4 linked regions of the Macaca mulatta genome follow. The protein of the gene in region 1 interacts with the protein of each later gene in a pairwise test. Links are inferred from orthologs where the notes say so. Each region holds a gene or a part of one and is shown in the gene's direction. Other genes may lie near its edges.

Region 1 (4,283 bases):
AACCCCGTCTCCACTAAAAGTACAAAAATTAGCCAGGTGTGAGCACAGGCCTGTAGGCCCAGCTACTTGGGAGGCTGAGGCGGGAGAATCGCTTGAACCCGGGAGGCGGAGGTTGTAGTGAGCTGAGACCACGCCACTGCACTCCAGCCTGGACAACAGAGCGAGACTCTCTCTCAAAAACAATAATAATAATAATAAAGTACAACAGAACATCTAGTTGTCTGGGTAACTGAGGGAGAAATTAGGCCGAATGACTGTTATTTGTTCTGGCCAGATAATGTTGGCCTTAAATTAAATCACCTTTGGCCTACCTTCTTCAAAACGAAATAATTTTCTCTTCGGCAAAACATTTATTTGACCAAATGATTACCATCGTATCTTTGGAAGCAAACAAAATATCAGAATTTACATCATATAATTTACACATGCAAAGCCCGATTTTGCCAGCTAGGGAGGGATACGCTAAACAAAGGGAAGTGGTGAAAACAAAGTAGTAATGTTATGATGGGTCAGAGAGCAACACTTGGCAAGTTGTGCCAAATTAGTCGACGAAGCACTCTATTGGGAATTGCAAAGTAGGAAGTCCTATTTTTGACTCTGCTGACCTCAGTAAATATTTCCTTGTTTTAAAAATGGGCATAATTTTCTGTTACCTAAGAACAGTTATGAAAATTAACGAGTCTATAAAATGTTCTGACGTCTCTAGAAGCCCTTCCTAAACACACACTATAATTGTGTATTCATACAGTGCCTGCTCCTGGTATTTGAAGATATGCCGGTTTTTATTAATGACACCTTCTACCACTAAGTTCACTGTGAGTCCTCGTAAAATTAATTAATGAAATAGCCACTATTTTAACTGGGAGACTGCCTTCAGAAGTGGTTTCCCCTGCCCATATGGTCAATGTTACGAAATTAAACACTGTGAAGTACCAAAGGCAGTGCGTTCCTCTTTGGAGGGAGGCGGCAAACGGGAACCGGACTGAGAAGAGAGCTAGCGGCAGTGCGCGGGGAGCCTCAGCCGCTCCGCACGCCCCGAGCCGACGGGTCCTAGAGCGACCCGGGGCCCGGGCTCGCGGCGGCCCCAGCGGGGCTCGATTACTCTCGCCTGGGCGAGAAGCGGCGTCTCGGCTCGGAGGAGCCCTACGGTGGGGAGGTGGGGCGACGACAACAAAAAGAAGTCAAGTGGGAGGGGATTCGCCGGCGAGGGGGGAGACGGCGGCCGCCTAGCGGGAGGAGGCGGACATCTCCGAAGGGACCTGCGGCGCCGGGAGCCCAGCGATCCTGCCCACGAGCGACTGGCGGGTCCGGGAGGGCGCCTCGCGGCGTGCAGCCGGGAGCCCCGCGGCCCGCCCCTCGCGCAGCTCGCGCCTCTCTCGCGCCTCCGTCCCGCCCCCTCGCCTAGCACCGCCCGCGCGCAGCGTCTCGCGCCGGCCGGGCCCGCCCGCCGGGAAACAGCCGCGAGAGCAGCGGCCGCGGCGGCCGCCAGCGCGCCTTCCCCTCCCGCGCTACCGCGTCGCCCCCGCCCTCGGCACCTCGTCCCCGGGCCGCGCGCCCGCGCTCCGGCCAACGTTCTCTCCCGGCCTCCCGGGCCCGCCGCCCACTCCCGCGTCTCCGAGCCCCTCAACCGCCGCGGTCTCCCTGGGCGCGCGGCCCGCCGCCTGCTTCCGGGGCGGGCGGACTGGGCGCCTGGTGCCGGCGGCCGCAGCGACAGCGCCCCCGGGAAGCAGAGGAGGAAGGAGAGAAGAGGTGGAGGTGGCCGCAGGCTGAGTCGCGGCCGGGATGTCCGGGCAGCCGCCGCCGCCGCCGCCGCCGCAGCAGCAGCAGCAACAACAGCAGCAGCAGTTGTCGCCGCCACCGCCGGCGGCCTTGGCTCCAGTGTCCGGAGTCGTCCTGCCGGCGCCCCCGGCCGTCAGCGCCGGCTCCTCTCCAGCCGGCTCGCCCGGCGGCGGCGCGGGCGGCGACGGCTTAGGGGCCGCGGCGGCCGCCCTGCTCCTCCACCCCCCGCCGCCGCCGCCCCCGGCCACCGCGGCCCCGCCGCCCCCGCCGCCGCCCCCGCCGCCACCTGCCTCAGCGGCCGCCCCCGCCAGCGGGCCCCCAGCGCCTCCGGGCCTCGCCGCGGGCCCCGGCCCGGCCGGAGGCGCCCCGGCCCCAGCTCTGGTGGCGGGCAGCAGCGCCGCGGCCCCCTTCCCGCACGGGGACTCGACCCTGAACGAGCAGGAGAAGGAGCTGCAGCGGCGGCTGAAGCGCCTCTACCCAGCCGTGGACGAGCAGGAGACGCCGCTGCCTCGGTCCTGGAGCCCGAAGGACAAGTTCAGCTACATCGGCCTCTCTCAGAACAACCTGCGGGTGCACTACAAAGGTACTGGGCTTGTGTCCTGCCGTGGGAGTGGGGCACTGACCCGACGTGGCCGGCCACCGCTGCGCCGCTCTCGACCCGCCCCCGACCTCCCCCGACCCCCGCCCTCGCGGGCTCTGCCCTCGGAGGCCACTCGCCGCTTGTTGTGCTGCTCCGGGTGGGCGCGGGGGTCGCGGTGAAGGATCCGAGGGTGAGGGGCGAGATTCTTGGAAGAGGAGGGTGAGTAGAATGCTCCAGGGTAGGAAGGAGCTGGTAATCTTAGGCCAGGAGCAGGACACCTTGAGGGAATCCGGGATGACAGGACAGAACTGGCTTTCTGATTTCCCTGGGAGATAAATCTTGGGGCTTGGGTAGAGGAATCCATGGACTCGGAGTTGGGTTACATTGTTCTCCAGGTGGTGGGTCAGGCGTTCTCCTCTTACAAGGAGGGAAGAGAGGCACGATTCTGAGGTATGATTTCTAATTAAGAGAGAGCAGGGATACGCAGGGGGAGGAGTAATCAAAATTAGGCCAGAGATTGTCTAGGGGGACTAAAGGACAAGGGACCCAAGTTTGCCATCAGTATATCTTAGTGAAAGCAACCGGGAGGGTAAGAGAAGGGAACCCCAGGAGCACCATTTTTCTTAGGGGAGCAGAAACCTACCTCTCCCGATTGGAAGTACTCTATACAGGTCCTTAGGTGTTGATGTTATATGAAGCCTTGTTGAAAACGAAGATGGAACAAAATGCAGCTTAGTATTTTGAAGAAAATTGGCTTATGTTTTCCACCTGCAGTTAAAAACAACAACCTTAGGTTTGTGCTTGCCCCCTTCCTTCCTCACCTACCTCTCCTAGGTTAAAACAAAGCTTGAAGCAAATCAGTTGTATATAAAATTATGAATTGCTATGGGAACTATTGAAATGTGGCCCAATTTAATAGCGTGTATCAAGTTTACTTGTGTGGAAGAAAAAAAAAAATCAATCTAACGTATCAGTCTGTCTGGAAACAAATCCAGGGTTTTAGGCCCCAAATCTAAAGCAGGAGCTTTTTACATTCACGGCAGCCTCACTTTGATTGGCTACAAAGGGGTCTGCTCAGATCCTAGTGACATGTATGTAGAGGGGATAAACAACCTTGTGGTTAAATTCTTATATGGGACTAAAATTTAAGAAGAAGCTTGATAAGTAAGTTACTATTTAACCAGAAAGGCGAATGGCAATACAAATCTACCAAATGATTTGGCTGCAAAGAATCACGCACAAAAATAGGCCTTGAACATTTTTTAATTCTTGCATACATCCAAAGAAGTACTTCTAAGTGTTATCTTCCTTAATCTAAACGTCTAAACATTTCATTCACAATATCAAATCTTTGTTTTATCTTAAGTTAGGACATTTTGTTAATTTCCTTGTGAAATATTTCTACTTTTATGTTTTAATTTGTGTGAACGGTGCTATGTTATGAAGTGTTTACTTCTGATCTGGCTGCCAGAAAGCTATTGTTAGATGTGACAGAATTTTATAATTTTAAATTTATGGTTGACAGTAATTTGCTCATAAAATCAGAGCCAGTATAGATGAACAAAGAATCCTAGATTTCCTGAGTTCTGCAGTCGTTTGTGGTTGTGGATATTTTACAAGACTGGGCCTCAGTTTCTTCCTCTGAGTGATGTGTAAGTTGAGCTGGAAGATTGGTAGGGAAATTTACAGCTCTGAATTTCCGTGATGTCTACGATTCGTGATTACTGTTTATTTAGTACTGTAAGGTGTCTTGATTAGTTTTAGTCTTTTACATAAGATTCATGATTTAGGTCAGAGAAAAATATATGTTTATGTGAAATTAGTTGGAGTTTGAAATATTTCTGACACTGCTACATTCCTGACACTGCTGTCTCAATTGTTTTTATTCTTGGCCTCTTTATTACTTTCTGTTGTGTAATACTAA
Region 2 (3,582 bases), on another chromosome or scaffold:
AGTAATTTTTTGCTGATTGTACATTTGGTAAAATTTACCTGTTAAATCATCTAATTCTGGTGGCATTTATTTGGGGGTAGACATATGAACATTTTTAATTTATCTTACAGTGTTTTTATTAACTAAGGAAATCTTATGTTGGCATGGGTCATCTGTTTCGTTTTACTGTTGTAGCCTTAGCACCATGCTAGTCATATAAAAGATGCCCAGAAAATTTGTTCAATGAATCCTTATAAGGTTGAATAGTGCTTTTACTTTGCTAAAGTTTTATTTGAACTGTGTTAATATTTTTCTTCTTCTTTTTGTTTCTTCTTCTTAAAGTTCCACTCTTGTCCTGGGGACCCAGCTTTAACTTTAGCATCTGGTATGTTGAACTTAGTGGCATTGATGATCCTGATGTAGTACAACCTTGTCTCAACTGGTATAGCAAGGTAGGACTGTATTTTAAATCCTGACTTTAATGGCTATAAAAGGAGAAATATGTCAATCTCTTATTCATTGAGAATAATTTAAAATATTCAAAATAATAATAACAGTTAGCTAACGTTTTATTAGGTACTTCCAGTCTGCCAGCTTTTAAGCGATCCTAATAACTCACTTTGTCATTATCACTCTATGAGACAGGTGCACTTACTATCCCCATTAGTTTATAGATGAAGAAATGAAGCACAGAGAGATTAAATAGTTTGCCTAGGATCACACAACTGTAAAGTGCTTGAGCCAGTGTATGAACTCAGGCAGTTTGGCTCCACAGTCTGCTTTTATATTATACCCATTTGACTCTGAATTTTGTTTTTTTTACTTGTATTCATATAAATACTTAAAACATAGTTTTTAGTGGGATAGTTTTGCAGTCTGATGGAAAATTTAAGATGTCGATGTGATTTAGACTCCTAAAGTAGTCAACAGGGTTAAAAAATATTGCTGTTTAATATAACTGTAATATATATTGTTACATGGTAGTTACGATAAATCTTTTTTAGAGGCCAAGAGTAAGTTATAGTTAATTAATTATAATTAAGTTATTAATAGTTAATTATAATGTGTAAGGATTAGATGTTTAATGACCTTTTATTAGTTAAGAAGTCAGCTATCAACTGATTTGTGTTTCAGATCTTATACATCTTCCTAAATACATTTTATTTTCTTGCCTCATTAAAGGGTAATGCCTATAAGTAAATCATTGTTGTTTGATTATCATGCAACATTGTTGTTTGATTATCATGTTGTTTGATTGGCATGTCATCTGTTTGTTTGAATAGTGGTATAGTTAGGAAATTTGACGTAGTCCCAGAACATACTCCTGAAGTTGAGATTTTTTAAAAAAAATCCTTTTTATAAGATTGTATTTTTGGCATCTGTCCTATTAGGGGAAATTTTTAATAAATTAAGTGCCTGCTTTTTGGATTCCAGTTAATTGAGATGTCTACTTTATAGCTGCTTAATAGATGAGGTAGTGCAGGCTTAGAAAACAATTAAATTGGGCCGGGCACAGTGGTTCTCACCTGTAATCCCAGCACTTTGGGAGACCGAGGTAGTGGATTGCCTGAGGTCAGGAGTTCGAGACCATCCTGACCAACATGGTGAAACCCCGTCTCTACTAAAAATACAAAAATTAGCTGGGCATGGTGGCATGTGTCTGTAAGCTCAGCTGCTTAGGAGGCTGAGGCAGGAGAATTGCTTGAACCCAGGAGGCAGAGGTTGCAGTGAGCTGAGATTACGCCACTGCACTCCAGCCTGGGAGAGAGAGCAATACCCTGTCTCAAAAAAAAAAAAAAAAAATTAAATTTAGTCTGTTTTTGATGATTTTTGAGTCATAACACATGTTTGTAAATTTGAAGTATCTGTATACTTGATACTTGTCATTCAAGTAATAGCTTAAAAACCAAAAATAGAAAGCATAATATAATTGTATGTGAATTATTTCATGTTTTTTGTGCTCTCAGTACCTGCATTGTAATGGGATTAATAGACACTATGGAGTTATAATTTTTACAATATTAAGTGGAGTTTAAGAAATAGGTGTTCTCCCTTTCTTCAAAGTTGAGACTCTGGAATTAGGTTTGGTTTAATAACTTTTGGCTACATACTTTGTAACCTTGGACAAGTTTGGAACAGGCCAAGTTTTAGTTTTGCTAGTTAAAAGAGCCAAATAATGATACCTAATGAATCAGGTTAGTACACTGCTTGGGACATAGTGTTAATAAATGCTCAGTGTAGATTAGTTATTTTTACTGTTGTTAACTGTTTCCTACAGTATCATCTAACCAAATCTCTTCTTTCCATACTTACTCTGTGTTCTAGTAGTACCGTGAACAGGAAGCTATTCGCCTTTGCCTAAAACACTTCAGACAACACAACTATACAGAAGCTTTTGAGTCACTGCAAAAGAAAACCAAGATTGCACTGGAACATCCCATGTTAACAGATATTCATGACAAGCTGGTGTTGAAGGGTGATTTTGATGCTTGTGAAGAGTTGATTGAAAAAGCTGTAAATGGTATGAAACTTTGATTGGTTATTAGGGTAAATTCAAGTACATACGGGAAACTTTCACGAAAAGAATATAGGCTTATGCCAGTTATTACTCTAATTTTTTTTCTTGTTTTTTTTTTTACTCAGTTAAAGATTGTTAGCTCTTTGGATTAGGGACTTCTTTCATGTAAAATAGATCCATGATGTAATGAGACTTTAAAAAATGAAATGTACTTGAACTCACATATAAATTTAAGTTGGCATCTTGGGAAACCGTGCACTTACAAATGATAGCATCAACTAGCATTAAACTGTATCAGAAATATTTTGATATTGATAGCCAATATTTATTAACAGTGTATTTTGAGAAGAGGGGGCTAGATAATAAAAAGTGTTATTAATAAGCAATTATATATAAGGAACAAGGAGATTTGTATTGAAAATAACTTCCTTATGGTGTAAATACTATATAATTGCCGATTTTCTTGTGTGACCTGTAATCTGGCTTTGAAAGAAATGTGAATAGTTGAACATCTATATTATCTCCCAGGGTATTGACTTTGGAGGGTAACGCTCATTTGGATATTTAAGGTCTGATGCGTTTTGTTATTTAAACTAAAAAGGGACTCTGTTGCTTATAGTATGACATTTTTTAAAAATCTTCCACAGTAACTTTCATAGTGACAAAGAACAGAATAGTTGTACAATACAAAACTTGTGGAATTGAATTTGGTGCATCTTTTATAGGAAGAAATAAGAAATAATACATTTTTCAGTGATTTGCTCTCATTTTCATTTTATCACAGTTATCATCTTTTACTAGGTATTCATATTTATTAGATATTGGGTAGCTAAAAAAAAACCAGACCTGCACTGCCTTCTTTGAGTTTGTAAATGTAAAGTTAACTTAAAATGAATTGCTTTGAGCTCCACTTTTTAAAATATGACAAATCTGCTTCTAAGCCTTGTACATTGTTATTGCTTACTTGATTGATGATGATACTTGCAAATAAATGATTGGTATGTTTGAAATTGAATATATTTTGGAGTATAAACAAAACACGTAACTAATCTCTTACCAGACTTTGAAAAGCTACCAATAAAAGT
Region 3 (4,203 bases), about 97 Mb from region 1:
GTTACATTAGTTCATGGAAGAATATGTTTTTAAAGTATTTTTGTTAGTCTCTAGGAAATCTCTGTAACATTTTATTGTATAAATTATACCCTTTAATGTAAGAGGATAAAAATAATACTGAACATTGGCAAATAGCCTATGATTAATAGAGTTTACCTATGAGTTATCTGCTTCTAAGATAAATACCTAAAAATAATATTGGAATTAAATGTTCCTTTCAAGATCTACCCTCCCTGCTCCCTGAGAGTGCAGTTAATTTTTCAAGACCAACTGGGGACATGTATTTTCAATGTTTATGGTTAAAAGATATATACATGCACAAAAATATACATGCACAGAAATGAGAATCACTTCAGAATTGGTGTTAACTTTAGGGGAAAAAAGGCCAAGAACTTACTCTTTGTAACTACAAATTTATTTCTAAAATAGAAGCACTCGTGGATTTAGAAGTAAGGTATAAAATTCAAAAACGTATCCATGTTTCTCAAGGACCTTGTTGTAGGCCACTCTATTTCCATACGTTATGTGACTTTTCCTAGAATTTTTACACTAGAAAACAGGCAATCAAATTTTGTTTGGTTTTAACAACCTTCTTCTCAGAAGCATATGTCTATCGAGGAAGTCTTCAGATAACAAGGACAAATCATTCCTAATAGGTCTATGAGATTTAAGATGTGAAAGATCAACATTATCTTTAGTTGACTTTACTGGATGCCACAACCTTCTGATTTCTGTAACCACTTCTTATGCCTCTTCCTCACTGAGACAAAATCAGAGGTAAACAGAGATTCACCCTAAGAGAAATTGGGGAAAATGAGGAACAGGTTTTCTACACAAAAGTTTATTTCTTTCTTATTTCTTTTTCAGAAAATAGAGGATCGCTGTTGTTCCCAACAGGTTTGTAGGGAAGAAAATTGGAGAAACATTATTACATTTTCTTAGATGTTGGCAACTGAGGCAACAAGGACTGCAAAACAAGATTGTGTGTCCCCTATTCCCAAATGATCAAAATTGGCAATAGGGATGGAGGAGCATTGGGGTTTTAGGGTTGTTAGGGTTTCGTCAAGCCAGTGTATTCCCTGCCAGATTTTAAGGAGAAAAAGGCGCTGGAAAATGGAGTGATGTTAGCCCCCTTTCTTATTTTTCACTGCTGCCAAAAACTAACTCTATCTCTCTCCCCAACCCTTCTCTCCATCTCCCTCCCTTAGATGTGTTTGCACAGAAGAGTGCCCAGTGAAGAGACCGACTCCTTGGATCGCTTTGCGCAAAATCCACCCCTTTTCTCTCCTCCCTCCCTTCCAGCCTCCGAATCCCGCATGGCCCTCCCTCCCCTCCCGCAGCGGTGCGTGGCTGGGGATGAGCCGCTGTGAACTACTAAGGTGGGAGGGGGCTACAGGCAGAGGAGAATGTCAGATGCTCAGCTCGGTCCCCTCCGCCTGACGCTCCTCTCTGTGTCAGCCAGAACTGGTTTCTGTAAGAAATAGCAGGAGCTGTGGCAGCGGCGAAAGGAAGTCACTGAGGCGCTTGGAACCGAAAAGTCCCGGTGCTCCTGGCTACCTCGCACCGCGGTGCCCGGCCGGCCGTCAGTACCATGGACAGCAGCGCTGTCCCCACGAACGCCAGCAATTGCACTGATGCCTTGGCGCACTCAAGTTGCTCCCCAGCACCCAGCCCCGGTTCCTGGGTCAACTTGTCCCACTTAGATGGCAACCTGTCCGACCCATGCGGTCCGAACCGCACCGACCTGGGCGGGAGAGACAGCCTGTGCCCTCCGACCGGCAGTCCCTCCATGATCACGGCCATCACCATCATGGCCCTCTACTCCATCGTGTGCGTGGTGGGGCTCTTCGGAAACTTCCTGGTCATGTATGTGATTGTCAGGTAAGGAAAGCACCAGGGCTCCGAGCGGAGGGTTCAGCGGCTCAAGGGAGTCCAAAGAGACACCTAACTCCCAAGGCTCACTGTTGGGCGGGAGGATGAAAGAGGGGAGGTAAACTGGGGGAACTCTGGAGGCTACCACGGACAGTGATTGCTATTTCTGTGAGAAAATCTACTTTTCTAATTTTTCAATTGATAAAGAAGTAATCCAAAATTTCAGGAGCAGAGAAGTTGCTTTGGTTAAAGCTACAAAGGTCTAGGGGTGGGGGGGAAGTTATAGGGTAGACTTAGAGCTCTTCCTTATACTGAGCAAAGAGGGCTCTTGGCAGAGTCCTACACTCAGTCCCTCTGCAGGAGCTATGGAAAGAGTAAGTTGTGAATAATGGGTGAGAAATTCTAGTTAGCTTTCTCAAATTTGGTTGGGGCTGTGGTGTGTGTGGGGGGGAGGGGGGAGAAGTCTTCTCAGTTGTTTTGAGATGGACCTTGGCAACTTTCCTACTCCTACTGGTTTAGTACTTCCCTGTACTACAACCCCACCCTTTCTTCTCCCCTACCATAGCAGCCCTTACCCATATCTTCCTTTCATCCTGAGGCAACACTAGGTAGAGGAAGTTTCCCTAGCGTCTCTCCATGGTAGTTTTCCTCCTGTTATAACAAACATGACAGCTGTGTTGCCTAGACCAGTTTGCCATTGGTAGCTTCAGATCGCCTAAGTCACAAACTGCATCTGGAATGAGTAGGTTGGTTCAGGAAAACTGCAGGACATGGCTGTATTTCAATGCCTCCACAAGTTGGAGCTAATTAGGAGTGACCAAAAGCATCATAATTCCACAGTAGAGACTGCAGAAATGCTTACACAGGAAGTTTTGATGGGTGCTCTAAACAAAGTGTTCTTATCAAGCAAAATTAATTCAAAAGAGTTGTGGTCCACTTTCTGTTTACCCAGATGTTCCAGGTATATTTGGCAGAGTGTGGAAGCTCTCAATATTGATTGAGATTGGTATTGATTGTGTTGCTGTTGATGTGTATATTCAAATATATATTCAAATACTATATGTGAATGTGAAATGCCATATATCTGTTTTTGTTAAATAATATAAATATTTTAAGACTTTAAAATAGCTCCTAAATCGAGGGTTTTTTCTTTTTTAACCAGGGGTATGTGTATGTAGGTAACAAGGCATTTTCATATTTAGTTACAATATTTGTTTCACCTATTCAGCAAGTATTGCAGGTTTCAGTGGAGCTCTTAAATCATTTAACAATTGCTCTCTCCAGTATCGTTTCATTACCAAGGTGCTGCAAATTGCTTATAAGCAATTCTTTCTACTCATCTGTCTGATTTCTTTAATTAATGATTTTCAAAGAGTAAAGCTAATTTCCCTGATCTTTTGATGAGGAATAAGATAAGTATCGTCTGTAAGAAAAGAGCACCATCTACTGAGAGGAAGGCTAACAACAGAAGGAAAAATGTAAGAAGATCAATGGAATAATTTATTTTTAAAAACATTTACTTTAAGTAATTCAATACAATGATTCACATTAAAGATTAAAAGCCAAGTTTCATTCTGCAGTTATGACAATAAAAGTTATAATTAAAGGCCTACTTTGTGAAGAGAAAATATGTTTCTCATTTTTTCTAAAAGAAATTCATAAAATCATACACTAATCAAGCTAGAAGGGACTCTAGAGATTATCTATGCTAAGTAAATAAACTGAGGCACAGAAAATGTAAATGATTTTCTCCAAAAACAGATATTTCATTAATTCAGTGCCACTGAATCTCTCCTAGCTAACATAATTTTATGTTTATTGTGCTGGCAAATCATGATTTGAGTTAATTTGACTATTAGGTTGACAGAGTGGGTTGATACAGCAATAATAACTTGGGAATAACAAATTATCCCCAAATTCTGTATGAAATCCTGAAGGAAAAAAAGCATGAAACAAAAATTACCAAAGCATCTAGGAGTCCTGCCATCTGAAACATAATATTTTATTCCTTTTTATTGCTTCTTGGTATTTTCCTTCCTCATTTTTCTACACTTCAGTTTATGCTTTGCAATACAGAGAGGGCCAATAGAGTGGCAACTGGCTGTGAAATAAGCAGATTGGTCTTATTATTCCAGTGTAGATGTTGTTGGTTGGGTGAGTTGGTTTTAAAGGCATTACCTCTGGCCTCTTGTTGACTTGGAGAAACATGGTGACAGTGCATCTTACTGAGAACATGATATTATGCTTTATCCTTGGTACTGAAAGTTCTTACAAAATGCAGTACTATTTGAAAGGTCATCCCAAACACCCACCTGTGGCAGGGTGGGTTTT
Region 4 (4,061 bases), on another chromosome or scaffold:
CAACTCAGGGTTCCAACAAGAATTAAGGTTAATTTATCGTCTGCTCCTTTGAGACAGAGTCTCACACTGTCACCTCGGCTAGGGGGTGCAATGGGCCTTGGCCCACTGCAACCTCCGCCTCCCAGGTTCAAGTGATTCTCCTGCCTCAGCCTCCCCAATAGCTGAGATTACAGGCGGCTGCCATCATGCCCAGCTAACTTTTTGTATTTTTAGAGAGATGGGGTTTCACCATGTTGGCCAGGCTGGTCTTGAACTCCTGACCTCAAACGATCCTCCCACCTCAGCCTCCCAAAGCGCTGGAATTACAGGCGTGAGCCACTGCACCCAGCCATGTCTGCTCATATAGTAATTCTTTTTACGTGCACACCCTGCAATATTACTGTGCTACTCAAAAGCTAATTATGGGGCCAGGCTTGTTGGCTCACGCCTGTAACCCCCCCAGGACTTTGGGAGGTCGAGGCCAGTGGATCACTTGAGGTTAGGAGTTCAAGACCAGCCGGGCCAATATGGCGAAACCCCACCTCTGCTAAACACACAAAAACCAGGCGCAGTGGCGCGCGCCTGCAATCCCAGCTACTCCAGAGGCTGAGGCAGGAGAACCCCTTGAACCTGGGAAGCGAATGTTGCAGTGAGCCAAAGTCGCGCCACTGCACTCCAGCTTAGGCGACAGAGCAAAACTCTGTCTCAAAAAAAATAAATAAATAAAAGCTAATTATGGGACTTGTAAGAAAATATTAATTTATCATGCCCCAAGGACCAAAGTGCGCTGGAAGTTCAGCCGTAGCTGTCTTTGAGTGTGGTCAGCCGCCTGGGGGCCACGGAGACCCACGAAAAAGGGGGTCGTACGTGAATGCGAGGTCCAGGTCTTGCACCAGTCTGTTCATATCTCTTGAGCCTCAGTTTCCTTTCCTGCACTTCGAGCAGTTAACCCTCAGTGCCTAGCAGCCGGTTATTAATATATTCACAACACCCTCCACCCAGGGCAGGGGTGGGAACGGCTGTTCTGCTTTTGAAAGAGAAAAACAACTTCCACAGTTCTTCCGGCCCCACATCCTCTGAACCGGGCTGGGCGCCTCCTCTGGGGCGTAACCAGTTGGACGCGCCCCCGACAGACCCCGCCGCCAAGGCCCCGCCCCCCAGGCCGCGGCGCTTCACGTCCAGCGGGGGCGCTAGAGCGCGGGGGACCGGGCGGGGCGGGCCCGGGAGGCCCGGAGGCGGGGCCGCGGGCCGGGGGCGGACTGGGGCGGGCGGAAGGAGAGCCAGGCCGGAAGGAGGCTGCCGGAGGGCGGGAGGCAGGAGCGGGCCCGGAGCTGCTGGGCTGGAGCGGCGGCGCCGCCATGTCCGATAGCGAGAAGCTCAACCTTGACTCGATCATCGGGCGCCTGCTAGAAGGTTGGTCGCGGCGGGGGAGGCCTGCGTCCGCCGCTCCCGGGCCCCCTGCCGGGCCCGGAAGTGGCGCGCGGGCGGGCCCCCGGGGCCAGCTTAGACTGGGCGGGGACGGGCCGCGAGGTTCGGTGGCCGCAGCCGCCCCCCCGCGGACGCGCCTGAGAGGTCCTGGGCCCGCTCCGACGCGCGGAGCAGCCCCCTCTCCCGGGCCGGGGGCGCACGGGTTGCCTGGGTTCTTGAGGCGAGGGAGAAACCCGGGAAGCCCGGTCCAGGAAGGGGTCCTGCGCTGTGAGGTGTTTGGGTGGCAGCCCCCTGCGCACGACAGTCGCCTCCCGAGGCGCTGAGGGTAGTTGGGGGCTTCCCTTGGGAGGCTTGAGGCCGAGGTCCCGGGAGGCTCAGCAGCAACAGCTGCCTGCGGGCAAGGAGCGGCCGAGGAGGCCTAGGCGCCCCCGGAGGTATCCATGGGGCCACCCGTGTCGCCCACCCTCCACCTGTCAGGGTCCCGGGTCTTGACACCCCATTGCGCCCCCAGTGCAGGGCTCGCGGCCTGGCAAGAATGTACAGCTGACAGAGAACGAGATCCGCGGCCTGTGCCTGAAATCCCGGGAGATTTTCCTGAGCCAGCCCATTCTTCTGGAGCTGGAGGCACCCCTCAAGATCTGCGGTGAGCCCCCCGACCCAGGTCCCCTTGCTTTCCTGAAAGTGGCACTGGCCCCCACAGAGTTCCTGGAGTCCTCCTCCCTTGAGCCCAGTCCTGGTCCTGGGTTCAGGTCTAGACCCTGCATCTAGCTTACCCGATTCCCTGGGTCACAGGTGATATACACGGCCAGTACTATGACCTTCTGCGACTATTTGAGTATGGCGGTTTCCCTCCGGAGAGCAACTACCTCTTTCTGGGGGACTATGTGGACAGGGGCAAGCAGTCCTTGGAGACCATCTGCCTGCTGCTGGCCTATAAGATCAAGTACCCCGAGAACTTCTTCCTGCTCCGTGGGAACCACGAGTGCGCCAGCATCAACCGCATCTACGGTTTCTACGATGAGTGTGAGTGGTCTGAGCGTCTGGGGCTGCCCGGGTCCTGAACCACACTCCTTGTCATTCAGTGGGACCTTCACATTGGCCTGATATCTGACAGACACTTGCTAGACTGTGCACTCCACGAAGGCAGGGCCCAGGTCCGTTCTTGTGCCTGCCCTGCCCCTCCTGGCATGGGGTCTGGGGAATGGTTGCTGACTGAAGGACTGTCCGTATTCTAGTGCTTTCCCCCAGGGCCCTGCCTGGTGACGTTCCCTCTACATTTGCTACTAAGCATTTAGGATGTTTGCAGATGAGCTCTGCTGTCCAGAAGCTGAGATAAACCAGACCTGTACTTGGCCCGGCTCGTGGGCCGGGGCGTGCAAGGAGTGCCAACCCTGAGGCTGGTCCAGATTGGAACTCAGTTTCCAGTGGACTCGGGTGCTTTAGAATTACTTCTGGTGGGAGGCTGAGGCGGGAAGATCACTTGGACTCAGAAGCTCCAAGTTACAGTGAGCTATGATCTTGCCACTGCACTCCAGCCTGGGTGACTGAACAAGACCCTGTTTCTTTACTTTTTTGAGACGGAGTTTCGCTCTTGTTGCCCAGGCTGGAGTGCAGTGGTGTGATCTCAGTTCACTACAACCTCCATCTCCCGGGTTCAAGCGATTCTCCTGCCTCAGCCTCCCGAGTAGCTGGGATTACAGGCATGCGACACCACGCCTGGCTAATTTTTTTGTATTTTAGTAGAGACAGGGTTTCTCCATGTTGGTCAGGCTGGTCTTGAACTTCTGACCTCAGGTGATCTGCCTGCTTCAGCCTCCCAAAGTGCTGGGATTACAGGTGTGAGCCACCATGCCCTGCCCAGATCCTGTTTGTTTAAATTACAAATTAAAATAAAAAGTAACTAGAATTACTCCTGGAAGGCTGACAGGCGGCAGGGGTGGGGGTGGTTTGCATTGGTGCCTGACTCTCTCCCATCTGCGGCTGAATAGCCCAGAGACCCCGGCTAAGGGTGGAGCAGGCAGACCCCTCACAGCTACCTCCCTCTGGGCAGGCAAGAGACGCTACAACATCAAACTGTGGAAAACGTTCACTGACTGCTTCAACTGCCTGCCCATTGCGGCCATAGTGGACGAAAAGATCTTTTGCTGCCACGGAGGTGAGCTCTCCTTAGTTGTCATCTGGGAAGTCACTCCTTTCAGGAAGTGTCTCCCATACCCCCCTGTGCTGGGCTGCACTCACTTCCTTGATGTGCATCCTACATGGGGCGGGCTTGTCTCCTTTCTCCCAGGAGCTCTGTGCTCCGGAGGCCAGGGGCGCCTTTGTGCCTGTTTGGGAACTTGAAAAAGCTGAGGGGAAGGGGATGGCTTCTGCCTGCCTAGGCACCCAGGAGACCAGTGGAGGGACCAGGAGGGTGGTGGAAAAGGTGAGGCTCACTGGCCAAGGCTTCCTGGAGGAAGGATGTCCTTGTTTGAGGAAGTGACCTTCCTTCTGGCCCTCCAGGCCTCTCCCCGGACCTGCAGTCCATGGAGCAGATTCGGCGGATCATGCGGCCCACAGACGTGCCTGACCAGGGCCTGCTGTGTGACCTGCTGTGGTCTGACCCTGACAAGGACGTGCAGGGCTGGGGCGAGAACGACCGTGGCGTCTCTTTTACC

What was found.
Region 2: the proteins of RANBP9 (region 1) and MKLN1 interact in a two-hybrid assay, tested with the Homo sapiens proteins (2 studies listed by BioGRID). The link is inferred for Macaca mulatta from reciprocal best matches to the Homo sapiens genes RANBP9 and MKLN1.
Region 3: the proteins of RANBP9 (region 1) and OPRM1 interact in binary tests that used the Homo sapiens proteins (3 or more experiments, as listed by UniProt). The link is inferred for Macaca mulatta from reciprocal best matches to the Homo sapiens genes RANBP9 and OPRM1.
Region 4: the proteins of RANBP9 (region 1) and PPP1CA interact in a two-hybrid assay, tested with the Homo sapiens proteins (2 studies listed by BioGRID and IntAct). The link is inferred for Macaca mulatta from reciprocal best matches to the Homo sapiens genes RANBP9 and PPP1CA.

What each region holds. Positions count from the first base shown.
Region 1 is NC_133409.1:169,400,862-169,405,144, forward strand, and holds the start of RANBP9 (ran-binding protein 9), read left to right. Parts: upstream 1-1,452; 5' UTR 1,453-1,782; coding exon 1,783-2,362; intron 2,363-4,283. UniProt on the Homo sapiens protein: May act as scaffolding protein, and as adapter protein to couple membrane receptors to intracellular signaling pathways. Acts as a mediator of cell spreading and actin cytoskeleton rearrangement.
Region 2 is NC_133408.1:171,098,244-171,101,825, forward strand, and holds part of MKLN1 (muskelin), read left to right. Parts: intron 1-321; coding exon 322-431; intron 432-2,307; coding exon 2,308-2,500; intron 2,501-3,582. UniProt on the Homo sapiens protein: Component of the CTLH E3 ubiquitin-protein ligase complex that selectively accepts ubiquitin from UBE2H and mediates ubiquitination and subsequent proteasomal degradation of the transcription factor HBP1.
Region 3 is NC_133409.1:72,845,105-72,849,307, forward strand, and holds the start of OPRM1 (mu-type opioid receptor), read left to right. Parts: upstream 1-1,398; 5' UTR 1,399-1,591; coding exon 1,592-1,881; intron 1,882-4,203. UniProt on the Homo sapiens protein: Receptor for endogenous opioids such as beta-endorphin and endomorphin. Receptor for natural and synthetic opioids including morphine, heroin, DAMGO, fentanyl, etorphine, buprenorphin and methadone.
Region 4 is NC_133419.1:6,982,110-6,986,170, forward strand, and holds the start of PPP1CA (serine/threonine-protein phosphatase PP1-alpha catalytic subunit), read left to right. Parts: upstream 1-1,261; 5' UTR 1,262-1,337; coding exon 1,338-1,392; intron 1,393-1,918; coding exon 1,919-2,050; intron 2,051-2,199; coding exon 2,200-2,430; intron 2,431-3,457; coding exon 3,458-3,562; intron 3,563-3,906; coding exon 3,907-4,061. UniProt on the Homo sapiens protein: Protein phosphatase that associates with over 200 regulatory proteins to form highly specific holoenzymes which dephosphorylate hundreds of biological targets.